7 linked regions of the Danio rerio genome follow. The protein of the gene in region 1 interacts with the protein of each later gene in a biochemical or structural test. Links are inferred from orthologs where the notes say so. Each region holds a gene or a part of one and is shown in the gene's direction. Other genes may lie near its edges. The genes, in order: si:ch211-202a12.4, ep300b, itcha, cdkn2a/b, cuedc1b, sdc4 and mterf4.

What was found.
Region 2: of the proteins of si:ch211-202a12.4 (region 1) and ep300b, one has a biochemical effect on the other in vitro, tested with the Homo sapiens proteins (2 studies listed by BioGRID). The link is inferred for Danio rerio from reciprocal best matches to the Homo sapiens genes UBC and EP300.
Region 3: of the proteins of si:ch211-202a12.4 (region 1) and itcha, one has a biochemical effect on the other in vitro, tested with the Homo sapiens proteins (7 studies listed by BioGRID, with this or other methods). The link is inferred for Danio rerio from reciprocal best matches to the Homo sapiens genes UBC and ITCH.
Region 4: the proteins of si:ch211-202a12.4 (region 1) and cdkn2a/b form a complex in vitro, tested with the Homo sapiens proteins (2 studies listed by BioGRID). The link is inferred for Danio rerio from reciprocal best matches to the Homo sapiens genes UBC and CDKN2A.
Region 5: the proteins of si:ch211-202a12.4 (region 1) and cuedc1b form a complex in vitro, tested with the Homo sapiens proteins (3 studies listed by BioGRID). The link is inferred for Danio rerio from reciprocal best matches to the Homo sapiens genes UBC and CUEDC1.
Region 6: the proteins of si:ch211-202a12.4 (region 1) and sdc4 form a complex in vitro, tested with the Homo sapiens proteins (2 studies listed by BioGRID). The link is inferred for Danio rerio from reciprocal best matches to the Homo sapiens genes UBC and SDC4.
Region 7: the proteins of si:ch211-202a12.4 (region 1) and mterf4 form a complex in vitro, tested with the Homo sapiens proteins (2 studies listed by BioGRID). The link is inferred for Danio rerio from reciprocal best matches to the Homo sapiens genes UBC and MTERF4.

What each region holds. Positions count from the first base shown.
Region 1 is NC_133180.1:42,862,380-42,866,399, forward strand, and holds the start of si:ch211-202a12.4 (polyubiquitin-C), read left to right. Parts: upstream 1-1,220; 5' UTR 1,221-1,286; intron 1,287-3,949; coding exon 3,950-4,020.
Region 2 is NC_133178.1:23,771,861-23,775,360, reverse strand, and holds part of ep300b (histone acetyltransferase p300), read left to right. Parts: intron 1-1,037; coding exon 1,038-1,136; intron 1,137-1,397; coding exon 1,398-1,486; intron 1,487-1,575; coding exon 1,576-1,728; intron 1,729-3,500. UniProt on the Homo sapiens protein: Functions as a histone acetyltransferase and regulates transcription via chromatin remodeling. Acetylates all four core histones in nucleosomes. Histone acetylation gives an epigenetic tag for transcriptional activation.
Region 3 is NC_133181.1:60,243,379-60,247,402, reverse strand, and holds the start of itcha (itchy E3 ubiquitin protein ligase a), read left to right. Parts: upstream 1-1,224; 5' UTR 1,225-1,272; intron 1,273-4,024. UniProt on the Homo sapiens protein: Acts as an Acts as an E3 ubiquitin-protein ligase which accepts ubiquitin from an E2 ubiquitin-conjugating enzyme in the form of a thioester and then directly transfers the ubiquitin to targeted substrates.
Region 4 is NC_133176.1:27,776,115-27,780,222, reverse strand, and holds the start of cdkn2a/b (cyclin-dependent kinase inhibitor 2A), read left to right. Parts: upstream 1-1,308; 5' UTR 1,309-1,570; coding exon 1,571-1,696; intron 1,697-3,354; coding exon 3,355-3,606; 3' UTR 3,607-4,108. UniProt on the Homo sapiens protein: Acts as a negative regulator of the proliferation of normal cells by interacting strongly with CDK4 and CDK6. This inhibits their ability to interact with cyclins D and to phosphorylate the retinoblastoma protein.
Region 5 is NC_133190.1:33,810,655-33,814,154, reverse strand, and holds part of cuedc1b (CUE domain-containing protein 1b), read left to right. Parts: intron 1-114; 5' UTR 115-436; coding exon 437-733; intron 734-3,500.
Region 6 is NC_133181.1:55,445,720-55,449,810, reverse strand, and holds the start of sdc4 (syndecan-4), read left to right. Parts: upstream 1-1,291; 5' UTR 1,292-1,353; intron 1,354-4,091. UniProt on the Homo sapiens protein: Cell surface proteoglycan which regulates exosome biogenesis in concert with SDCBP and PDCD6IP.
Region 7 is NC_133177.1:47,696,925-47,700,952, forward strand, and holds the start of mterf4 (transcription termination factor 4, mitochondrial), read left to right. Parts: upstream 1-1,228; 5' UTR 1,229-1,249; coding exon of another isoform or gene 1,250-1,276; intron 1,277-4,028. Other genes in the region: pask (PAS domain-containing serine/threonine-protein kinase), read left to right, coding at 370-551. UniProt on the Homo sapiens protein: Regulator of mitochondrial ribosome biogenesis and translation. Binds to mitochondrial ribosomal RNAs 16S, 12S and 7S and targets NSUN4 RNA methyltransferase to the mitochondrial large ribosomal subunit (39S).

The sequences.
Region 1 (4,020 bases):
AATAAATGAGTTTGAAAAATAAAACCGATGAACATTTTGGGAAATTATCCTTTGAGCAGGGAAGCTGCTTGGTGTCAATTATCATTTAATTATACTTTGGTGGGAAATTATCTTTTGAGCAGGAAAGCTGTGTGGTTTTCCACACTACACTCAATTCGAAAGGACTCATCCCTATGCGCTAATCTCTTTAGAGGAACCCTCTGAAGGGATTAGGGCATAGGAATGAGCCCTTCAGATTGGAATCCATCATGTATTTTTTTTTGTTGGTGGTTGAGAAAGTGCATTTCTGCCACCTATAGGACTGGAGTATGAAACTTGGTTGGGGGCTTAAAAAACTGTAACCACTTTTAAACCTAATTTTCCAGTCCGGAGACATTCAACAATCCAGATGACACCTTAATGATCTCTTTAATGTGGTAATTCTAATGTGTGATTAACACTTTACTCAGATTTCTTTCAGTTATTTTTCAGAATAATTCTATTTATTCTCTCTTGAATTATGTAATTTGTTATTAAGCATTTTTATGACAGTAACTTGTTTAATTTTTTACACAAACTTTTTTGCGCTGTATGACCAATGTATAATCTTGCAATTATCACATTTTTATTGTTTGCTCTGTTTTCCACGCAAATGTATCCTTATAAATGTTTTTTTTTTTGTTCTCCCATTCTTCTGCCTGCTCACTTTACTCAGCTGTACCCTGAAGTTAATATCAGGGTTCATTATTACCATACACAATCAGTTTCTTTTAAGCAACCAAAACATCCACTGGAACCCACGCAACTAACTATAATTCATATTTTATAATGCTGTATAATCTCTGGTCCTGTAATACGATGTATCTTTCCAGACTGTTCTATTTTTGTTTATACAGTATGTCAGTTCTTCTCTTTGCCTGGTCTTGTCTGAATCACCAATAGCAAAGCGAACAAACACTAAACCAGCCAATCACTGCCTGCAGGTTGTCCTACAAGTCCAGCCCATTCCAGCACATTGTGGAAACTTCCTTTATGGGTAATTTATGATTAAATTATACGTTTCAAATATTGATACATAACTTGTATTTATTTTTAAAAAATCAAATAATTCCATAGTTTTAACATTTATTTTAATTTTTCAAACGAAAAAAAGGTTTTGACTACTAAAAGACCCGCTCACGTGACATGAGAACGTCACGCTGTTGGGTTTGTATAAAAACAGTTTCACTCGCTTCATCGGCTGATTTTTCTGCGAAGAAGAGAAGAACTTATTCACTTTCAGAAGCAGTTTCAGCGATATTTATAAGGTAAGAAAGCTATTCCAGTTCGATTTAGAACCTTCATAAAGACCTTTAGGTATACTATTATTGATATTTCGTCATTCCTGTTTATTGTATTGATTTTGGCGCTCATATCCTCGACATCCTAACTAAATGTAAAGAAGTAATTTTACAGTCCTTAATGCTTTGACTAGAGTAATACTCATACGATGTTATTTTCCCAAATTGATACGTTTGCTTTTTAATTGTTAAATTGTTCAATGTCGCAGTTTGTCAGATTAAATTATGCTGAGTCATGGCGCTGTATGAACAAAGAACCCGGATATTACTGTACAGCGGCCATGTTTGTTGTTGCGCATTACCGTTTTTAAATGATGACATTGTGCAATTTTTTAATTATGTAACTTATTGTTTTATGTAATTTAGGAGGTAATGTTAACATAAATAACTATTTCGATATAGTGTATGAATGAAATTACAAGTTCATAACTCAACTTTTATTATATTTCTAAAAAACAAACATTTTTAATATGTAGGACCAGACGGAATCTGCGGGCGTTTTTTGCTATTTTTGCGTAGAATTTTGCTAAAAATCTGCGGATTTCTGCGGAATTATTTTGGGAGTATCATAACTAAAACCTTAATATATGAATTTAAAAATAATATCTTTTAAACTTTCATTTAATGTTTAAAATGCAAATCCAATTAGATTCACTTTATTTGGTAAACAAAGCAAGTCTAATATAATGTATCTACTAAAAGACAAAGAATCACTGTACAAACTGCATCGTATATAAATCAGATGAACATTTTCATACAAGTCAATAATATTACTGTTATTAAAAAGTAAATAAATATAGATTTACCCACATTTACTCTAGTAAATAAATAGAATTAATCATGGACTTAAATTTGCGGAATTTTGAGTGCACAGATATAGATAGATAGATAGATAGATAGATAGATAGATAGATAGATAGATATAACCCCCGTTTCAATTTTAACTATTTTCTGTAAAGCTGATTCTGGGTTAATGTAGAGTAGCTTTTACAAGGCATGCATGTCCACGTAATGATTTCTATTACCTAGGAGACACCCTTAAGTTATTGTCTCAGGTAAGAGGAAATCACCCCTACAGGGTTGTGCTCTATAGAAAAACTTAAGCTTGAAGCATCTGGATTGATATTGGCATAAAATAAAGATTTTAATAATTTGCTAATATGCTAATAATAATTTGTCACAATGTGACAATGTCCTTGTTCAAACTGTTAGGGTAACTAACATTTACTCTATTCTTCCAGTTAAACAGGCACTTTCATGTAATTTGATAAATTAACATGTTGTAAATCCAGCATCCCTCCACTAACATGGTGGCACCCATGATCATTATTAATCTGTGAAATGGAAATGGATGCGTTTGTATCATAATATTCATTTATCAGAATATGATATTTTCTAATATATTTAGGATGTTAACCAATGTTTGCATAAAATGACAAAATAAGTGAGAAAATTATATACATAAATCTTCAGGGCTGCAATGTCACATGATAAACTTGATGCATCGTCATGGAAGTCTCAAAGTGAGAAGTTTTAAATTATCGTCAGATTAATAAAACATTTAGTGGGGGTCAGAGAAAGATTTAGAACTTGTGTTTGTGAAAGGATGAGCTAAAATCATTCTGTATTGTAATAGATGTGCTAACACATTAGCCCTGCCCTGAATTAAGCCTATGCTCTCAGATTGACAGATACTATATGTGGTAGGAGGGTTGCACGGTTTACCGGTACTATGGTAGCATCACGATACTGTGGCTTCAAAATACTGGCAGTGCCACTGTAGTTTGTAAACGGTAGTATCTTCATTACCGGTCTATCTATATTATGTAGTGTTGCTTGTGAAAGTGATTAATGCTCACACATATGTGCATCAATAGACCATTTTATTTGAATAGTCTGTGGAGCCCCTTAAGGTTGCATGTTTTTTAACATTTCAAACGCACACCTGAAGCGGTTCATTCTGTTTCTGGCAATGTGATTTAATAGCTACAGCAACCGCAGCAATCTCTTAAAAACAACTTAATGTCTTAAAAAAATATTTTTAATTACTTTGGATTGTTCCCTGATAAGGCTGAAAAAATAAAAAAATAAATGGAAAAACCCAAAATAGTAATATTTGAACAACTTTTGACCACTTATATTTTTCATCACTTTCATAATTTTTTTTTTAAAAATGCTCTTTTCGTAACAAATTCCATTTTGTTTATTTGTATCTTTATTCTAATGTATTTTTTGTTGATCAGTTATCTACAAAATAAACAAAGTATAAATAAATTTTAGGTGAAATAGTGTGCAAATAATACTTATTTCTTTAATTGAAATTAAATTCATTTAATCATCATTCATTTAATGAAACTCAAGTAGACCTATTATAACATATAAAATATAGTATTTATGACAATTTTCCTTATAATTTGAGTTATGAATTACAGTATGGCATTACTATATGGTATCGTGATACTTCAGCTGGTATAGTATTATAACGTGAATTAATGGTATCGCGACAACTCTAACATGTGGTGTTCCAAAAAGATTTCTTTTTGAAGATTTAAGGTAAAATCTTAGATCAGTCGTATAAATCTGTACAAATTTTAGTCATTGCTAATCTTCTTTTGATAATTTGTTTACAGATGCAGATCTTTGTCAAGACCCTTACTGGTAAGACCATCACCCTTGAGGTCGAGCCAAGTGACACCATTGA
Region 2 (3,500 bases), on another chromosome or scaffold:
CCCAACAGTGCTCTACCTTAAGCACCAGCTGGCATGAATCGGGCACAGCCGCCCAGTTCGTGCACGTACACATCTGCATATATCCATTTGTCGGCCCGCAGTCAAATTTAAAGCTTGATGTATTGCTCTGAAATACAATCAGATTTAATCAAAATAACCCCGCCCCCCATGCTTCACTTGGCTGTGCACCAGTTTAGGGAAGAAAACACATTCACAGTTTCCTTTTCATGCAGAATTTAATTTAATTATTTAAAAAATAAGTATTATTTTTATTTAGAGATCTATCCATGTAAGAAGTTTGCTAAAAACAAAATTGTTCTAATGGTTGCATTATAAATTTTTATACGTTTGTAGTTTTTAAAACATTTGCATTTCAACAATTAATTCAAGTGTTAATAAAAAGCATAACCATTAGGATTTTATACTAAATTGGGTCACACGTTATGGAAAGACACTATTTCTGCTCTTAATAAGCAATTAATCAAAACTTTTATCTAAATAAACAACTAGTTAACTACTAAACAACTACTTATAATTACCGATTCTTGATCATTAGTAAGGTAGTAGCTGTGTTTGGGTAGGATTAGGGATGTAGAATAAGATCATACTTTATAAGTGCTAATAAACAGCCACTATCTTAATGATAAGCCAGCAGTTAACAGTAGCGATTGGTATTTAAACTGAAGTGTTACCTTAAATTATGAAATAGAAACAGGAAAGAAATGTTTGAACTCTGTTCCTTTCACATTCACAGAAAGATGTTTGAATCTATTCTTTCAAAAAGTAAACCCAACTGTGGATACCTAAATTTTGACACAATGTAAATACATTTAAACATCTCAACAAATTACTCCACCCACACATGTATAATTTCCAAATATAGCTGTACATTCCATTTAATAAACTCTCTTATGTTGCATAAAATAATACAATGCTAGCTTTTATTTCCAGTATAGTTAAATCACAGTTAAACTTGAGGCTGTTGTTTGTTATTGATCATGTGGAGTGATTATAAAGGATCTTCTGGTCTTTCCTAGATGGTCCTCATTCAGATCCGTCTTTAGTTCAAGCCACTGGTCCCAGTCAGATGGTCAATCGCATGCAGAATCCTGCTGGTATGCCACACTCACTAAATGGTCTGTAGTTGATGCACTATTGCTACATATATATGAAGGGTTTATGTGCAAAGACAGATTAGTCCATTTTTAGACATCATGTTTTGTACAATTGCCAAAAAAGAAATCATATTTTCACCTTGAGTGTTAAAGAGTACATTTGCAAAAAAAACTCATATATAACTGTTGATTTATCTGTTTTTATATGAACTCTTCATATATATAAAAGTCATAGTTTTGTTTTTGACTTATGTTTTAAACTTTGTAATTGCTTTCATCCAGGTATGAATCAATTTGGCCAGGTGGGGATGCAGCAACCAATGGGACAGAGGGCCACGCCTCCCCTGCCAATGGGTGCAAACCTCAATCAGGTAATTTCACTTGCCACCCAAAGGTCGGCGACTGATGTAAATGTACCTGATTGAAGCATTTATTTGGCATCTTTATTGTCTGTATTTAGATGAGCATGCAGGGAACACCTCGAATGGCTCAGCCCAATGTACCCCAGTTACAAAACCAGTACATGCAGAACCAGTTTACAGGAACGGGTGCTGGATTGGGACAGGGTGCGGTTGGCCTGAATCAACCTGCAGGGCAGGGAGCCATGCCGCAGGTCAGCTATTAAACCACATTCATATCTTGTTACTCAGAACAATGTGATGTCTCTAATATTTCTGTATGATAGTGTGTAGTGGTGCTGATAAGAGTGTTTCTCTTCTGAACTCTCGTGAAAGACAATAGCATAAACAGTTTTTAAAAAACAACCTTTATTTATTGAAATGTAAGCCTCACTCAAATTTAAATTTAAATCTCTTTAGATTCATTATTAGACATAGGTTTATTATTAAACATTCATAGAATTTAATGTTAAGAAGTAAGTGTGTAAGTGATGTTTACCATCATTTACATTTTATGATGAAAAATCATTCTGATGTATTCCTAATGTTTAAGTTAGTAATATTGTACTTTAAAACATTAACAAGACATCGTATCAGCCAATAGCTTATAGTTTATAATATTTGCCATTTCTGTGTTTTCAGTGATAGTTTAAACCAACCAATGATCAGTTCTGATTAGATCACATGCTGTATATAAAGTAAATGTAATGCAAACCTTAAAGACTGTGAAAGTAAAATAAAGTCTAGTAACAATAAAAGCATATTTTAACTGGTTCTTCACTGACAAGTTTGTTCAAATTTATTTAGATGTATAAATAGGGCTGGGTGATACTGCAAAAAAAAGTATCACAATATAGTGTTTCATATCATTCGGTATCATAAAATTTTTGAATTTTTTTTTTTTTTACAATTAATTTAGGTATATTAAGATTTTTTTAACCACTTTATTCTAATTTACCAATATTACTAAGGCACATCGTTTTATTAGATAAAAACAAAAGTATTTAAACAAAACATCTCATCTCTTCATAATAAAAAAAAACATAAGTGTTAAAGAGACACCTAAACTTGATAAATAAAATGTTACAAAGTGTGTGCAATGATAAAGTGTAAACGCTGAAGAATCGAAGCAAACTTTGAGGTGTGAATAGTAATGATACAGTAAACCTCAAACTCTTGTTAACAACACAAATTATCATAATCAAATCTGAGCTTTTTAAGTAAAGGACCCAGCCATTATTATTCAAATACACACTGCAACATTACAAATAGTGGAGTTCAATGACTATATTACCCCCTAAGCTAAAAAAAAATCTTTCAGATGGGGAGCTAGTGGCTGGGAACCACAAGAAAAGAAACCAAAAAGCCACTCTAGCAATACTTACATCCTTTTTTATTTACAATCTTCTAACTGCTGCTAGTCACGACACTCATTTTTGTGTGTGTTGTTATTCTGACGTGAAGTGACAAGTGTGAGCGCATGGTGTCCCTCACCATTTTCTATGCGATTTGCGCTTGCTCTCCCCTAACATTAAGGCATTAACCGTTTTCTCAGAGGATGACAAATAGACAAACCATTGCTGCAGTTTCGATACAAGTTTATGGAGAAAAGTAAAAAGCACATCAGTGTTTGGATGCGCTCTGATTGTCTGAGGTAATTAGTCTGCCGTTATTATCGAGATGTGTGTAATATGAAAATATGTGAATATATTCTATAAGTGTGAAGCAGATTAGTTAGTTCTACTTACATGAGTCGTGGTACGCTTGCGGCATTCGGAATAGTTGTGATATTTTCAACTATATGCGCCTGGAAATTGTGCGTAGGTGTGTGCCGCTTGCACAACATGTGTGCGTTGCTCCCATATGCACGACGTGCAAGTCACACGACTCCATTGGAAATGACAAACTTGCACCATAAGCTTATTGGCAGTGCTCAGCAGCCACATTTTAATAAAACTATAGCACTTGATAACAAAACATTATACTG
Region 3 (4,024 bases), on another chromosome or scaffold:
AGTGACCGGTTGCAGCTGGAAGGGCATTCACTGCGTAAAACATATGCTGGAAAAGTTAGCAATTCATTCCACTGTGGCAACCCTGGATTAATAAAGGGACTAAGCCGAAAAGAAAAGAAATAGATGAATAAATGAATAAGCACTTGCACAGATAAATAAATAAATAAATAAATAAATAAATACCTTAACACAGTATATTAATATTATTTAGAAATAATGTCATGGTACTAAAACCATGCACAAATAAATATGCAAAAATGCAGTGACAGCTGAGTTCCTAAGTGTTTAATGTTTTTACAAGGACTTGCATAAATAAATAAATCTGTTAAGATACCGCGGTAAAGTTAGTTTGACATTTGACATTCATAAAACATTCGGTTTCAAACCAAATAAATTCTTTGCTCCTGTTATAGTTTAAGCCAAAATATGTCAGCCAGACATAAATATGTGCCCTTTATGTTGCACAAAGCTTAACTTCTTAATTAAAAATAAATTAATTAACCATACGAATAAATTAAACAATTCAACCATATTAAATTATACTATAAAATAAGGACCAACATGTTCAGAAAAAACAACCTGGTTTATTTAATTTATTTTTTAATAATTTAAAAAATACTTTTAATGTAAAAATGATAAAAGTCAATTAAACTATCACACCTTTTGAGATAATAGAATAAAGTCAACTCAAAAAATGACTAAATATTTTATGGTGCACAACCTTTTTGGTTTTTTTACAGTTTTGCCTTTGTTGATTTTATATACAGTAATGAATCCATATTTTCATTAAGTTAAATACACTGTAAACACTTACATGAATTAAACACTATTTGAGACATGAACATTCAAATAGAAACCACAACTATGCCATGTCTATCAAGATCTTTCAGTGAACACCATGGATGATTGTACTACTTTCCCTGTCAAACAGCGCCATCTCGTGAAAGAACAAGCCTATAAATAATCTTAAGAAATCTATTACTGGCTCACCTTGACGTATAGACACACATATCTAGTCTTTCGCTCTTTATATTAGTAAAATACCGCGCAGTGCACACCTTTGTATAAAGAAGCATTGAATAATCCAGATAGACGCGCGCGTCGTCACGTGACGGGGTCGCGCAGATACGTCACTCCGACATGGAGCCTGTGCTGGTGGCGGACCTTTGGTCACCCGGTTGAGATGGAGCAAAGTTTATTAAAACGGCGAAAAGCTGATCTCAGATTCCGTTAAAACTGACATCTAGAAGCATTCCCTGTGATCATAACACGGTAAGATATTAGTGACACACACCTATAGAGGACAGTATGGCTTTAAACCAGCCGTGTTTTGGTAACGCGTTACCGTTAGCTTGTTTGACCGGTGACTGACTACTGGACTCTAGCAGGTGATGTTTTGACAGCTCGTTACTGTACCTTAACTATAGTCTGAAACGATTTACAACGGCCAGTTTTCATTTTCCATTTGATATATGCATGTAGCTTACGTGTAAACATCCGTCTGTTGTTATGCTGAATTTTGTAGCTGCGACACCGACAGTCAGTAACGTTATGTGACGTCACTGCTCTCAAAAGTACTGTAACTGTATGTGTGTTATAACACAACGATGGTATGTACATAAAACTGACCTGTCGTCTTTATCCAAGGCACTGAATGTATATATCACGACATTTACATAGTAACTGTTATGCCATTATAGTTCCATGCAATTGTGTGCACAATTAATGTCTGTTCATGATATAGGCTACCATCTGATGTCATTTCATGGCGCTTTTTAATGTCTTTATACTTTCCAAATTATAAAAAAGTAAGATACAGCAGGTCAACATGGTTACAGAAAGACATTTCTAAAAAGCAGTTTGAATATGAGTTATTTATTTAATCATGCACTAATTTCTGTACATTTCCACACAGTAATCTTTTATTTATTGGTTTAAATAAAATATTGAAATTTAAAAAGATGAATTTTTAGTACAATGTTTAAAGATAGGGCAGCACGATTGCTCTGAGTTTCCTCCAAGTGCTCCGGTTTTCCCCACAAGTCCAAAGACATGCACTATAGGTGAATTGTGTAGGCTGATTTGTCCATTATCTATGTGTGTTAATGAGTGTGTGTGTGTGTTTTCCAGTAATAGGTTGCAGCTGGAACGCCATCCGCTGCATAAAACATGTGCTGGATAAGTTTATTCCGCTGTGGCGGCCCCAGATTAATAAAGAGACTAAGCCGATAGGAAAATAAATGAATGAATGAATGTTTAAAGATATGTATTGTAGCACATTGGACATTTTAATGCACGTTTAAATGCCTATTTAAGAAACTGGAATGTTTCTGACTTAGTGCATGAAAAGCTCACATCCCCTAAAGAAATGTACTTTAAGATTTTGACGGTAGAATAACCTTGGATAAAAGTATCACAGTATCACGGTATTTGATTACTGCCCTAAAATATATTATTTTTAAATGTCTGGGTAAAAAACTAAAACTTGTTTCCCCTTTGAAAACGATATATTTTATTTTCTGAAAGATTTATAATATTTTGAAGCAGTAAACAAGTCAGGCTAAATAATTAAAAGAAATCATTGACTTCTGCTGTTTTAAAAACACAGATTTCTTTACAATTTAAAACGACATCCTTGGACATTTTTTTTTTTGCTGGAGATAGTGTTGTCCTAAAAAAATGTTAGTAAAAATCCTACACATACCTTATGAACAGTATTACAGAAAATGTTGGCGGTTTTAAAACCTTGACTTTTCCAAACCGCAGTATATTTTGAAAACAGTTATCGTCCCATGCCTACTACAGACACAAATATAAATATATATATATATATATATATATATATATATATATATATATATATATATATATATATATATATATATATATATATATATAAAGTGAACACTTAAAAGTATGTTGTCTCTTTAGTAATCTGAAGCAGTCCAAAAATTGATCAGTATATAAAAATCAAGGATTTGCCTGTAGCGTTCAGTCTTAATATATTCAAAACCCCAATAAACAAGTGTTATTCAACGGTTGCAGATTTGTGAAAATCATTTCCTGACAATTGATGAAGTGCTTAAAAATCGTTATAATTCTTTATGTGGTTAACTAACCTCTCTGACAGATTGCTGATATTAGCCGCCACCCTGATTCACTGGCAGGCAGAATTAAACTTGAAAAAGTTAATGATGCATTAGATGAAACTCAAACCTGTTACCATGAATAATAGTTCATTGGTTGATCAATAAACCCCTCAGAATTGTCAGTGTGGAGCTGAAGAAATTAACCAGGCATTAAGACAATGTTTAAACCTTTTAACAGATAATTACTGACAAAAAAAATCTCATATTTGTTTATTGTTTACATATCAAGTTTTTAAGTATAAGACTTGAATAGTCTGCACTCTGCAGGCTGCTGTATGTTTTCATGCTTTTATGCTCTTATTGGAGTTTGACAACAGCAGCACCTATTAAACTTTCATTGTAGTGCAAAGAATGAGAATTATTTATTCCATTTTTTTCCCACAACAGTTGTTGTTTTTTTGGTGAAGATGTTTCTTACAGAGTTAAGGGCTGTTCATATCAAGCATTGCAGCTATAAAGATAATGACAAATCAAATCAAACAACTTTTATTGTCACATCATCAGCAGCATGTGTACTATGATGAGTGAAAAGCTTAGGTGCTGGCTCTGCGTTTCAAAGATTATTTTTAAAAACATACAATCACCCATCCGCTGCATAAAACATGTGCTGGATAAGTTGGCGGTTCATTCCGCTGTGGCGACCCCAGAATAATAATTGGTCTAAGCCGAAAAAAAAATGAATGAATGAATGAATATACAATCATCGGTCACTATTAGGTACACCTTATTAGTGCCTGGTTGGACCCACTTTTGCCTTCAGAACTGCCTCAATCCTTCATGGCAGAAATTCAACAAGGTGCTGGAAATATTCCTCAGTAATTTTGCTCCATATTGACATGATAGCATCACACAGTTGCTGCAGATTTGTCGGCTGC
Region 4 (4,108 bases), on another chromosome or scaffold:
GTTTTTTATTTTATTTTATTTTTTTATGATATTTTATGTATATTTTTGATCCAAAATAAATAAATCAAATCAAAACTTCTTTTTTCCCCCTTTTAATGTAGGAATTTCAACTGTGGTATTAAATATTAAAATGCTCATGCCTATTTACTGGAGTTGTGAAGTAAACTTTGTGCAGGATATCTTTTAGTTACATAGTTCAACTATTCTATTTCTACATGTTGTTTAATATCTATTCAACAAAACTAAGTAAAATAATTCATTTTTAATCGTTGCTTCTATGACATTTAAATTAAATTTTCTATTATTAACACTTAGCCAGTGGGGCTTTGCCAACTATTTTTTTTCTTTAATATTGTACTGCGTTGGTTTGTTATGATTATTTTATTTACTATTTCATATTTTAGTATCTATTTTGCATGCACATTAACCAATATTATTAACATGTTAACAACATCAAAACATGAATAAGTTAGAAAATTAAATACAAAAGCACACTGTTCTTCATTTTAAACAGGTGCATCTCAGAATGTGATTTTTACTTTATGTAAATGATCTACACAGCCACAGGACCCTTTATCTTTTTACTTATTTTCAACGTATTAGAGAGGCAACAAACTCACTGCTAAAATTAAAAACTATTTGCTACAATTGTTTAATACCTTGTTTCTGGATACAGGCTATAGTTTAGCTACAGTCGTGTGATGGGGAAATAGCATTACAAAACTGTAAGTCAGACGATGTTTGGGCAAAATTATGGCCATTCGCGTCCTTTCTATCGTGCAGAAAATAGATTTATGTTCATCTACAATCAAAAACAGAACAACCATTATGAAAAAAATATAAATATAGGCTACCACGAATGTATGTATATGCTTTTTTGTTATAATTTATGTGGATCAAAAATATAGTTTAACTTAAGCGCCCCACACAGCATAATGGCTAAATAATATACTTTAAAGTAGCCAAGTCAAACTTAATCTCTACAGGCCTAGCTAACATCGCGTCTTAATCAAAATCCATAAAATAACTTTACTCTTGAAAAACGAGAGATTTTTCCTGGTAACGTTAGCCTATTCCCGAAGAGTAACTTCTCCATGGCACAAAACCCAATTATGTTAGCATAATTAGCGTTGTGATATGCTTATGTACCCGAAAAAAAGAATAAAAAAACTTCTTGTGATCTAAAAGCAGGCTAATGCCAGTTACATTAGCCATAAAACATTAGCAGAACCTAATTTCTGTTTCTCTGCAGCCTCTCCTACTGTGTCGTAAACTCATGTCTTCCTGACTCAGCTGTTGTGCGCAGGCGCAGTATGACAGTACTGCACCACGGTTTTGCTGTGACGTTTATGACAGAGACAAGTCCGAACAAATATCTCGCTACGAAAAATTATTTTAAGACACAACACTTTGATAAACGAGTCAGTTTCGCTTATTTACGCATTATATTGGAACATGTTATTCATGGAGACCGATAAAAATAAATTACAGCGTTGAACTGATTGTTTTCGCAGTATCATCATCATTTGGTTTTACCTGTGAAGCGAATTAATTTCGAAAATCAATAAAGATGATGAACGTCGAGGATGAACTGACCACAGCAGCAGCCACCGGAAACATTTCCCATGTTCAGTTTTTACTTTCTAACGGAGTGAATGCCAATGTGGTTAACAAATTTAGAAGAACGCCTATACAGGTAGGTTTAGACGCGCTTTAAGAATAAACAACGGAAATAAACAAATGCAAATAAATAAATAAGATTAATTGCAGATATGTAACATTAAATTAGTAACATACAATTCAAAGACTTATTTTGTATTAAAGGTCATATTATTTAACAAATTTAGGCTATTTCATATTTTCACACCTGTTTGACTATATGGGATTTACTTTTCTTTTTTTTTTTTAAATATTAGGCTATTTGTGTATTTATTTTACTCATTTTAGCATGTTTAAGAACCTTTTAGGCTACTTAAACGGCCTGAAACATGTTTACCAATAGCGTGTTATCAACCTATATAATACTAACAACACTTTCTATCTTTTAGTAATGTCATTAATTTTAACATTATAATTTTAACTTATAGCTACATTCTTAGAAATTAGTCCGAAATAAGACAAGGAGTTTTGGATGTATTGTCAAAGTTCAAATTATTCAAAGAAAACTAAAATCTTATTGAAAACGAAAGTCCCAATGTACTATAACTGTGTATAAAAACCAAATGTTTACAATTATATATAAGAGATAGATAGATAGATTTATATACATAACAATAAATAAATAAGACATTTTATAGATCTTAATTTCAGATAAATTTTAAACTATTAAATCATATCTCTATGTGCGAGAAGAATGGCACACTACTTGCTAATTCACTCCCGAAAGCTTTGTTGGCATCGATGGTTTTAAGAAGAACCTTTTGCATCTATGGAGAAAATTTTTGAAAAATGTGCCTTTAAACTATTAAAATGTTTATTTCATTTTTTGACAATAAAAATACTTCTTTTGGAAGCTTTGTAATAGGTTTTCTGTGCGGAACCAGAAGGGCATCACTGCGAAAACCCTTTTCCTCTTATTGCCATGCTTGTTTTTACGAATGTACGTTTAATATTTTGACATTTGTACAGTTGGCCTATATTGACCAAAATAATCAGCCACCACTAGCACAGTCATAGACTAATGGAGTATATATTTTAGACCATACTTATTTTTGCTTGTTTTTATAATCGTGTAGGCCTATTATTATAATATTTGGTGTGAAAGTTTTCATCTAATTTTCACAATGTCCAATGGTTTTACGGTTCATGCTCTCGGTTACGGGACATCAAAAGCCGAAGAGGTAGCCTACAATAAAGTGCGTATAGATATCTTTTAGCACACTTTAAACAGATGGACAGCATACATCCAGAAATCGTAAAAGATTAGGCAATTGTAAAACTTCTGACGAGCATGAATTGCCTCAGAAAAATGTCAATTAAACGAAAGATGTTTAAGAAAATCACAAATGTGAACAAAGCATATTTATGGCATACATTTTATTTAAAATGATTATAGGAATCTTCATAATTAATCATATGAAAAATAAGAATTAGCTACAACACAATTTGTTGCATTTAATTGATTTACTGCCCGTGAATAATTTATTGATAGGCTAAAAGAGTAATGCATCATGCACAGCAATGTTCAGTGCCAGCATGTGCACTGCTTTCGTTCCTATTTAACCAAAAAGTATCTACTTTCCAGATTTCGAGTGATGGCAGTAAAATTATTGATTAAACAAACTTCTTTACAGTGACATCATGACGTTACTGGCGTTTATTTTTTCATGAGACAGCAATTTTCCCCCTCTCCAGGTGATGATGATGGGTAACGCACCTTTGGCTCTTGTGCTGCTGGAACAGGGAGCGGACCCTAATGTGCCTGACCCCGACACAGGGAGCACACCTCTGCACGACGCTGCCAGAACCGGATTCATTGACACCGTGCGGCTTTTAATCCGCTTCGGCGCCGACCCCAATACAAAAGATCACTGCGATTTACGACCAGTGGATGTGGCACAACAGACTGGCAACGTAGACGTGGTTGAATTACTCAATCGTGTTTAAAATGTTTAAAGACTGCATCACTGCATAGCCTAGGCTACTTTAGGTGGTAACCTTATTAATGCACTCAAGTACTTATAATTCTCAATAGCACATGGTCATTCATGTAGTTTGGAGATTCTAATCATTTAAAATTTTATTTCTGTATCTTTTAAGTTTATTTATTATTATTATTTATTATTAGCTAGTCAATGGGAACTTCAATAAAAGGCTACAGACACAAACCATCATACGCTCATGCTAGCCTATAGTTCGCATAATAAAAAGTGTAGACAGCATTATGTCCAAAGATAAATAAATAATTAAATAACATATCCACCTATTTGTTTTTAACCTGAAAAGCATGGCGACAAACATTGAATCAAATGGCTTGCAACGCAAGGACATCCAATATTTTTGGCGAGCTCTTTCTTTTTTCATTTCTTCCGGTTAAACATGCTTTTATTAAGTTTATAATATTGTACGACTAATAAAAATGAAACTTTCTATTTATACCAAGGCATAA
Region 5 (3,500 bases), on another chromosome or scaffold:
AGCTTGAGTTCAGACCATTAAACGGCTGATGCTTGTCAGCCAAAGGTTTTCATAATGAACTGTATGGTTTCCGACCTCATCTTGTTAACTGCTCATTTCTGTATTTGTTTTCAGTTTGAGCAGAGCTAATGGGGAGATCACGCAGTGGGACACAAAGCTAAAGCGCTCAAGACCAGACCGTCTACTTCCCTCGTGCCGGTGACTCCGTGCTGTCGTGTTGGATGCAGCTTAACAAGCAGAAGAAGAGAAGGAAAGGATTTCTCTCGCTCCAGTGGACTAGATTCTTTATAGTATGATGAAAAAGTGAACTTGCATACTTCCACAAACCAAAGAAACACGTGAGAGAAACACACAGAGAAGTTTTGTGGGAGACATCAGACACCATCGTTTCCCTTGTGGCGTGGTCGGTCTGGAAGGAAAACGGGGCTCCTGCAGGATGACCAGTCTTTTCCGACGCAGCAACAGTAATGGAGGGTCTCGGGGTGGCGGGGGCTCGGCTGCAGGCGAGCTCAACAACTCTAGGCCCAACCGGCAGGTTCGACGGCTGGAGTTCAACCAGGCTATGGAGGACTTCAAAACCATGTTTCCTACCATGGACTATGAGGTGATCGAGTGTGTACTGCGCTCCAATAATGGTGCTGTGGACGCCACCATCGACCAGCTCCTGCAGATGAGCATTGACGGGCAAGGCTCAGATGACAGCTCAGATTCAGATGACAGCATCCCGCCAGAGGTCAGTGCTTTTTTTTGAAAGTGCTTATAGGTTTTGTTTAGACTCGCTATTAAGATGAGTTTTGTTGATTCAGTCACAAAAGAAAGTGCAGGATTTCCAAGGGTCAATGAGTTTGTGAGTCTAGGGAACAAAATGCTCAGAAGTCCTAGAAAATAAATATGCATAGATGGTGGCCCTTTAAAGTGCTTACAATTATTTTGTGGAAGATTGAAAAAAATCATATTATTCTCTTCAGTTTGCTAATGGGTTATTTCGCCAACACTTTGTGGCCTGCGCATACTAGCTTGCTTAATTTACAGTAGTTATGAGCATTTACACATTATGTTAAAGGTGCAGTATGTAAGTTTGACACCCAGTGATTGAACTAGGTAATGCATTCCTGGATCAAAACAAACGCAAGCGCAGGTTGCCAGACTGAGGTCCAACAGGAGCGAAGTCTAAATTCTGATTACAATCGTGTTCTATATAAAAGCAACGGCACCCAATAGACCATGTATACAGTAGTTTTTGTTCTTACGAACACCTTGAATTGTTATGTAAGAAACGGCTTCTATTTCTTGCAACAACAACAGAAAAATTTTACAATGATCACCTCAGGTACACCTCATGTGCTTTATTCAGTGTTAAATGCTAATAATGTGAGTTTGAATCCTATTTTAAATTACGTTTATTGCCAAGCTACTGAAAACAGCAGCAGATAATTCACCTCAGGTCTTGAAAAATAAAATAACCTATTTGAAATTAAACTTTAGAACTGTGAAATAATGCAAACCAATGCATATCAGTGATTCAGCATGTACATTCATTAATGTTAAAGAGGGTTAATATGTATTAATTAGATTATAAACCTTACCACGAGTAAGTGCATATTCTGTGCTTCTGAATGGCTGTATTTACATTTCTGTCGTATTTTGTCTGGTGCAAACAGCCAAATTGCTTATCACTGCGTATTTCATCATGTAGCATGTTGTTAGGACACGCGGTTTCAATGTAACCTGCTCACCTAATGTTTACGTTCGTAATATTTATATTATTTGCTAATATCATGTGGAATCTCATTTTAGGGCTGTTGCCATCCACCAGAGTTCGCATTTCGGTCTCTGACGCATGCTTTGAAAGCCTTTCTGAATGAATGAATGAATGAATGAATGAATGAATGAAAAAAATACATTGTTTACCAACAAGGCAACCCGGGGTGTTGAAATATAATTGGCTAATGTGGCAGTGGGCAGGTTAAAAAAAAAAAAAACAAAGGCAGACCTTCCGGCATGTTACGCACATTTTTTTAAAGCAAAATAACTGACTTCAGCATTGTTTTTCAGATAAACAAGTGTCACTTAATGTTTCTTAAATATCTGCAAACATAATATGGTATTTTTATGCTCTAGAAGAGTCAAAACCGTACATACAGCACCTTTAAATGTACTTTGTGTTGTATGTTACCATGATGTTCATTCGCAAGCACAAAACAACATAGACAAACTGAAAATTATAATGTCTTAAACGCAAATTTCAAGATATTTTTCTTAAATGTAACCTTGCTTTCACTTGAAATGTGTCCCCACATTACATTTACATTTACATTTAGTCATTTAGCAGACGCTTTTATCCAAAGCGACTTACAAATGAGGACAAGGAAGCAATTTACACAACCAAGAGCAACAATGAATAAGTGCTATAAGCAAGTTTCAGGTCTGTAAAGTCTAAGAAGGGAAGTATTAGTAGTATTAGTTTTTTTTTTGTTTGTTTTTTTTTTTTTTTGTACAGTTAGTGTGATATTCAGAGAGGCAATTACAGATTAGGAAGTGTAGTGGAGACTAAATAGTTGAGTTTTTAGTCGTTTCTTGAAAGTAGCGAGTGACTGCTGTTCTGATGCAGTTAGGGAGTTCATTCCACCAACTGGGCAGATTGAGCATCTACATTAAGGGTATTGAACCTGGAAAGTTTTTAAAAGTTCCATAAATTTGAGGTTAACCCAGGTGTGGGAACCTCGATAAAGGTTTAAATGGGGACTATAAATGTTTTGAGTTCATTCACTTGATCCAATGGGCTACATGCACACAGACTTTTCATTTTCAGCCAGGCAGCCCAAGGGCTTCCAGTGAAATGTCTTTCTATTAAAAAATTGTCAAGTTTGAAATCTGATTTCTTTAAAAAATCAGCAATCTTCGCTGCCTGTTAGATATACGATATGAAGTGGGTCTCAGATCAGACAAGAAGCACTGAATTAAGTTCCGTTTCCCCCTGCCATGTCTTTAATATATGACAGTTTATTTTACCCCAGTATTTTCAATGGAATTTCTGCGATAACCTGTTGCTACTGACGCGTTAGTGGTTACAACGATCTTTCATCTCATTTTAAGCTTAAACAACTAAATGAATGCTTAAGTCTGTTTAACTGAATGTATTATAATTACATTACAACATCGATGCTGCAAAAACAACCTTGTAAAATTGAAAATAATCACATTTAGCTTTCAGCAGAAGCTTATCGTTGGCTTTAAAACTCAAGCTGTGCATAGAGCCCAAATTGACTAAAACAAATCTAACTGTTAAATGTAAACAAGGCAATAGAGCGCAGTAGTCAAATACAGAAGTAAAGCCTCTATTGATTTCCATTTAAGGAAATTGATTTTTAATTATAACTTGCAACCTTAACCAGCTGTTTGTTTGTTTTTCAACATAATTAGGAATAATCCCATTGAACAATTGAATCAGCAAAGAAAATTACATTATGTATGATGCTGTGCAGAGTCATAGTCAGAAA
Region 6 (4,091 bases), on another chromosome or scaffold:
AGGCAAAAAGGGGACCAATCCAGTACTAGTGAGGTGTACCTAATAAAGTGGCTGGTGAGTGTTCCTAAGATTGAGAAGATATAAATAGTTGTGGCATTTGTTATTCAAATATGCAGTTTATGATGTTATTATTAATATGGTAACTCTTCAAACATTTTTTTATATTTAATGCTAATATATTTACTAACAACATTTATTACAGTATTTATTCATCTTTGTTAATGTTAGGTAATGAAAATAAAGTTGTTTATATTAACTCCATATCACCCTGCAGCCCAAGACCGGTGACTCACTGAAGCTAAGCAGGGCTGAGCCTGGTCAGTACCTGGATGGGAGACCACTAGGGAACACTAGGTTGCTGTTGGAAGTAGTGTTAGGGAGGCCAGCAGAGGGCGCTTAACCTGTGGTCTGTGTGAGTCCCAATCCCCCAGTAAAAAGTAAAGGGGACACTAAACTGTCAGTGGGCGCCGTCCTTCGGATGAGACGTTAAACCGAGGTTCTGACTCTCTGTGGTCATTAAAAATCCCATGGCACTTCTCGTGAAACAGCAGGGGTGTAACCCTGGTGTTCTGGCCAAAGTCCCTCTATCAACCCTTATGATCATGGCCTCCCAATTATCCCCATCCACCGAATTGGCTCTATCACTGTCTCTCCACTCCACACAACTGATGTGTGGTGAGCGCACTGGCGCCGTTGTCCTGTGGCTGCCGTCGCATCATCCAAGCGGATGCTGCACACTGGTGGTGGTGTGGAGAGACCCCCCTTATGATTGTGAAGCGCTTTGGGTGTATGGCCATACACAATAATTGCGCTTTATAAATACACATTACATTACAACTCAGTGCATTATTTAATGTTAACACAACTTTGGATTTTAATAATGCGTTAGTCCATGCTGAACTAAGATTATTAAATACAGTACATGTATTGTTAGTGTTTGTAAACAAATCAAATCAGAGACCTTATTGTACATTTTGTGCATTATTAGATCTTTACCAATGGCTAATATGCTAATATGCATTTAAAGTTATTGAATAAATAGAAATGAGTTAATAAAACAAGGGTGTGTTACAATTATATGGAATGGAAACAGGATTTCTATTGAAGCCAAATAAGTATACATACGAGATTTCTCCTTAAAACAAAAGACTTGTTCTTAGTCACCAATAAACTGGAATGAAATCGGACCTGCCAGTCCACTATTGCACAAGAAATTGCATTGTTGTGCAATCCTCCAAAAAATGACGTAATTTTGTGAGTTAATGTTTATGGTGCATCGACGGCCACTAGAGGGGAACGCAGCTCCATTCACTTTCCCTCCACATTCTGATGTTCTGCTGATGATTTACACTGGTAAGCTGTATAGATATATTATTAAAACTTATGTTGTTCTCTTTTAGTAATATTTAATGAAGCAATAAGTCACTGGAGCCCACAAAGTTTTTTTATAAAGAAACATTTTAGTATAAATCATTCTGTTAATCAGCTTGATTGTTTTAATGCTGGTTTTGTTAGCCTTTAGCATGTTTGACAGAAAATACATTTAAATGGTTTTAATAGAGATCTCACTAAAAACAAGAAATTTGTAAGCGACCAAAAGATCCCACAAGCCACAGCATCTGCTGAACACTGCATGCACCAATTGAGTTTTCTTATTTTTAGACTGCAGGGTTGGAGTCTTGATCTCGTGGTCATAAATGTGGTTTTCGTCAAGGCCTACACTCGAAAGACTAACTTAGATTAATAAAAAAATGTAAATCTTGATCTCGATCTGTTGCTGAGACAGAAAAAAGTGTGTGTGTGTGTGTGTGTGTGTGTGTGTGTGTGTGTGTGTGTGTGTGTGTGTGTGTGTGTTTCCGAAGTGCCTTACAACGAAAACTGATAATAAGAAATCTGTCATGTTTTAATAAATATGAAAAATAATTCATAAAGCATATAGCATATATTTTAACCAGTAACATATATTAAGTTATCAGACTTAGTTTTGTCAAAAATTTGCATAATATTTGAAAAAATTAAGCAAAAACATAGGCTAAAGACTGAATGTATAAAGTCAAGACTATTCAAATTCATTTCTATCACAAAAACTAGAAAGAAGAGCCAATAGCCAAGTTAAAAATAACAATATGTTAAGCTTAACGTGCTACATGCTATTTACAAGCTAGATATGTGTAAAAACATGCTAGCGAAATGCTATTAGCATGCTAAAACTTTTCGGCTTAAAAAATGAAAACTGCTTGCTAGCAACTTGCTAATACATTTTAAAACATTCTAGGAATATGTATGTTAGAAACATGATGAAACATGAAATCAGTGAGCTATCATGCTAGCAATACGATAAAACATTTTAGTATCAGGGTATTAACATTAAAATTGACTAGCTGGATTCTAAAACATGCAAACCATGTTAACAGCTCGCTCAAACATGTTATAAACCATTAAACATGTTAAAAGCTGTAAGAATGAAAAGCAATGTGTTAAAACACAAACATGCTAGCATAGTTACATCCCTGCTGAAAAATTTGCTTAAACCAGCCTAGGCAAGTTGGCTGGTTTTAGTTGGTCAACTGTGCTGGTTTAAGTGGGGTTTTGGCCATTGCAGGCTGGTTTTCAGCCATTTCCAGCCTGGTATTAGCCTGTCAGGCTGGGAGATGACCAGCTAAAACTGGCTAACCAGCGTAGGCTGGTTTAAGCTGTTTTTTTTCAGCAGGGATGTTAGATATGTGTAAAAAAATGCTAGCAAAATGCTATTAGCTTGCTAAAACATGGCGGTATTGCTCAAAAAAATGAATACTGCTTGCTTACAACTTGCTAAAGCATTTTAAAACATTCTATAAAATGTAAAACATGTTAGAAACATGCTAGCAAAACATGATAAAACATTAAATCTGTTTTAAATGTTAAATGTTTTATCTCACTACCAAAGAGATAAAACATTTGGGTATCAGGCTTGTGAACATTAAAATTAACTAGCTGGATTCTAAAACATTTAAGTTACATGTCAGCAGCTTGCTCAAACATGTTATGAATGATTTAAAACATTGAACATGTAAAAGTTGTAAGAATGTAAACCAACGTGCTAAAACACAAACATGCTAGCAATGCTATTTACATGTTAGATATGTGTAAAAGCATGCTAGCAAAATGCTAATAGCATGCTAAAACTTGGTGGTATTGCTAAAAAAATGAAAACTGCGTGCTAGCAACTGGCTAAAACATTTTAAAACATTCTAGAAAATGTAAAACATGTTAGAAACATGCTAGCAAAGCATGATACAAAATTAAATCAGTGTTCTACCAAAGAGATAAAACATTTGGGTATCAGGCTAGTCAAAATTAAAATTAACTAGCTGGATTCTAAAACATTTAAGTTACATGTTAGCAGCTTGCTCAAACATGTTAGGAATGGTTTAAAACATTGAACATGTTAAAAGCTGTAAGAATGTAAACCAATATGCTAAAACACAAACATGCTATGCTAGTTACATGTTAAATATGTGTAAAAACACGTTAGCAAAATGCTTTTAGCTTGCTAAAACATGGCAGTATTGTTCAAAAAATGAAAACTGCTTGCTAGCAACTTGCTAAAACATTTTATAACATTCGAGAAAATGTTAAACATGCTAGAAATATGAAAGCAAAACATGATAAAACATGAAGTTAGTGTGCTACCAATGAGATAAAACATTTGAGTATCAGGCTAGTCAACATTAAAATTAACTAGCTGGATTATAAAACATGCAAACGACATGTTAGCAGCTTGCTCAAACATGATTGGATTAAAACACTAAACATGTTAAAAGCTGGAAGAATGAAAACCAATGTGCTAAAACACAAATATGCTAGCAATGCTATTTACATGTTAGATATGTGTAAAAACATGCTAGCAAAATGCTATTAGCATGCTAAATCATGGCGGTATTGCTAAAAAAATGAAAACTGCTTGCTAGCATCTTGCTAAAACATTTTAAAACATTCTAGAAAATGTTAAACATGTTAGAAACATGAAAGCTAAAACATGATAATTTTTAATATTTATTATTTTGTAAGTAGCCTAGGTCAGGACATACATGTTAAAAGATGGTTAAAAT
Region 7 (4,028 bases), on another chromosome or scaffold:
TCTAAATTTTGATTAAATGAAGTACTTAGCAATTCACATAACTAATTAAAAATAGATTTTTGATATATCCACAGTAGGAAACTTGCTAAATATATTCACCAACATGATATTTATGTAATAGTCTAATGATTTTTAGCATGAAGACAAATTGATCATTTAATCAATGTGTTTTTGGATTTTGCCTAAATATACCCATGTAAAACAAGACTGGATTATGAGTCCAGGGTCACACTTAAATAATATAGGAACTGTGTTCCTTTCATATTGTTCATGATAATTTCATGGCTTGGTCTTAAAATGTTTGATCATGCTATGCACATTTTCTAAAAAAAAAAAAAATAGGACTAATCATACTTATTTCTGTCTAAGATTCCAAGTCATCATGTGTGCACCGAGCAGAAGTCCTCTACACAAACTCTGAAAACAATCTGAGCTCGCTAGAAGACACACCAATAGGAGAAGATGATGATGATGATGAAGACGACGAGGAGCAGAGGAGAACCATGGCGGCGCTTCAGTCTGAGCTGTTGAAATATCTCACCGACGAGTGAGCCACTGTTGTGAAAGAGACACTAATGCGTTCAGCTCAGCTAATTACTACTTTACATCTAATGTCACCATGAGCACTAATGCAGAATCTGTCCGTCCAGCTGCTGCTGATGATTCCAGGCCGGCCAAAGAGCAAAGCAAAAGTGGCACTGGGAATGAAAGCCATCTGTGTTGCTAAGAAACTGCTTCATCTCCATGTTTGGTGAAGGAACAGGAGTGTATTTATCAAACGTCTTGTGTTTTTCACTCAGAGTTGTGCTCTTGGTTGTAATGTTGCGGAGTCGAGCTGAAGGATTGTCCAGTTAAAACATGCAGCAGGCGCACTAGACCTGAAGGATGATACTCACTCGAGCTTTAGACATTTGTTATTAGGCCTTCAGAGCTTTAAAATAATTTTAGGTTGATTTTTAAACTTTTAAATTAAGAATATTTTAATTATTTTTATAACATTTCAGTATTTATGCTATAAATTAATCATTATTGGCGTATTTTTAGATCGTTTCATCTGTTAATGATGCTGGTTTTATTTCAGAATGCGCACAGGCTTTGTAAAGCCTCTATTATATGTTGATGTCAGTGAAATTCTTCAATAAAAACTTTAATAATTACTCTGGTCTTTATTTCTGGTCATTCAAGCATCCGGAACTTTTGAGCTCTGGCTGTTGTTGCGGGGTCGGTCGTGTTTTGACGCAGCACAGCTATGGGTTCACATGTATGCATAAAACAGGTACAGTGTAAGGGATAAAATAAATGTTTTACATCTATTAAGATTCTTGAACGCTAAATTTGGACCTTCAATTGCAGAATTTGTCATTAATATATCGCGTTTATGTTGGTTAGACGCGGATTTTTTGTCTGTCGTTCACTGACTGGAACCGGGGTTGCATTTATTTGCGATAAATCGAGTTGGAGAAATGGCGTTAACTTTTATTTTAAGGGCTCTTGGTTATTGGCAAAACAAATACAAATGTCATTACGTTTAATTAATTTTTAAAGTTGTCTCATTGTTTTGATGTACAATGTGACCTTCATTCAAACTTGATCAAACACATGTGTAGCTAATATTTACAAAAACATTTTGCCCTACTGAAGCTAAAATCGTCCATAGCCTCTAAAATTAATCAATTATACACGACATGTAGTTTGTGTCGTGTTTTAGTGTTTTATCTGAGTAGGAAATAACGTTAAACACTATCATACATTTTCAGCACGAATTTCAGAAGACGCCACTAAGCGCCATTCAGTCGTTTGCAGTGGGCTCTATACGGAAAAATAAAATCATTTAGGGTCATGTAATGGCATTAAAATACTCACTTGTATGTTATTTTAAATCTAAATACTTAAGGTATCTTTAAAAACTCTTAAAACACAATCAAATTTAGTAAAAAAAAAAGATATTTGGCAACGTTAAGTAGCTATAGTTCAGAATAATGTTGTTTTGTTGTACGAATATTGTTCTGATATTGTTGTATACGAGCCATTCCATGCAAATGTCAAACTTGCCATGATAAAAAATGTTTTCAACAAAATAGAGAAACCGTTTCTATGCAAGTACTTTGAAAAAAGCTCAAAATGTCTCTTTCCGTGTTTTCAAACAATTATATTTCATTAACTATGGTCATACAAGTGCCAATTTCATATCGGTCACATCCATAACGTAAAAGTGTCACATCCATAATGATGTCACATTCATAACTTTTCCCTCAAACGCCTCAAATATATATATTTTATAGAGGGCAAACATCTTTTGATTAGCATAATTTCTTTTGAGATGTGCAGATTAATTCAAAGAATTTCTAAAAAGTATGTTGTATACTGTAAACTGGCAAACTTTTTTGACATCCATATGACATGATTATTTTCCTCATATAAAAAATAAAAAATTAATGCAGATTGATATTTTTTTCATTCCATAACTCTGTGGTTTGTTGTTTTGGAAAATATAAACAGTTGCTTCAATATAACATTAACGTTAACCTATACTTTGTGAATTCATGATTTGAGTTTTTACTGCAAATATCGCATCCATAATAACGCTGGAATTGCTCCTACGTGATATGTGTGTTTTATATGTGATATAGTTATATACTTACTAAAGACTGAGGCCTTCATCATGCCACAAAATATCAGTAACTATTTTAAAAGTCAAATCGCACACAAATCAGCTGTGTTTTTTAAGTTACTTCCTGCTATCAACATATAGACTGGATACACACACTAAAATAAATCCCCTTTACAGAAGCGGCAAAAAAAAAAAAAAACTACACATATGTACAAACCCTGTCTTTGTCCTCAGCCCAATTGAACCTACAGCTTTAATACAGTGCATCCTGAAAGTATTCATAGCACTTCACTTTTTCCACATTTGTTTATGTTACAACCTTATTCCAAAATAGATTTCCTCAAGATTCTACACACAATACTCTATAATGACAATGTGGAATAAAAAAGATTTTTTTGAAATTGTTGCAAATTTATAAAAAAAAAAAACCCTGAAAAATCATATGTACATTAGCATTCACAGCCTTTGCTGTGAAGCTCTGAATTGAGCTCAGGTATATTCTGTTTCCACGAATCATTCTTGAGATGTTTCAGCAGCTTAATTGGAGTTCACCTGTGGTAAATTCAGTTGATTGGACATGATTTGAAAAGGCATACACCTGTCTAAATAAGGTCCCAGGGTTGACAGTGCATGTCAAAGCACAAATCAAGCATGAAGACAAAGGAATTGTCTGTAGACCTCCGAGATAGGATTGTCTCGGCACAAGGCTGGGAAAGGTTACAGAAAAATTTCTGCTGCTCTAAAAGTTCCATTGAGCACAGTGGCCTCCACAGTGGCTTCTCCGTAAGTGGAAGATATTTGGAACCACCAGGACTCTTTCTAGAGCTGGGCGGCCATCTAAAGCTGAGTGATCGGGGGAGAAGGGCCTTGGTCAGGGAGGTGATCAATAACCCAATGGTCACTCTGTCTGAGCTCCAGTGTTCTTCTATGGAGAGAGGAGAAACTCACAGAAGGACAACCATCTGTGCAGCAATTCACCAATCAGGCATATATGATAGAGTGGCCAGATGGAAGCCACCCCCCACCTGGAATTTGCATTTGAAGGACTCTCAGACCATAAAAAATTAAATTCTCTGGTCTGTTGAGACTAAAATTAAACGCTGTGGATTAAATGCCAGGCGTTGCATTTGGAAAAAACCAGGCACCGCTCATCACCAGGCTAATACCATCCCTACAGTGAAGCATGGCGGTCACAGCATCATGCTGTGGGGATGTTTTTCAGCAACAGGAACTGGAAGACTAGTCAGGATAGAGGGAAAGATGAATGCAGCAATGTACAGAGACATCCTGAATGAAAACCTGCTTCAGAGTGCTCTTAACCTCAGACTGGGGTGACGGTTCATCTTCCAGCAGGACAATGACCCAAAGCACACCGCCAAAATATCAATGGTGTGTCTTCACAACTACTCGATGAAGT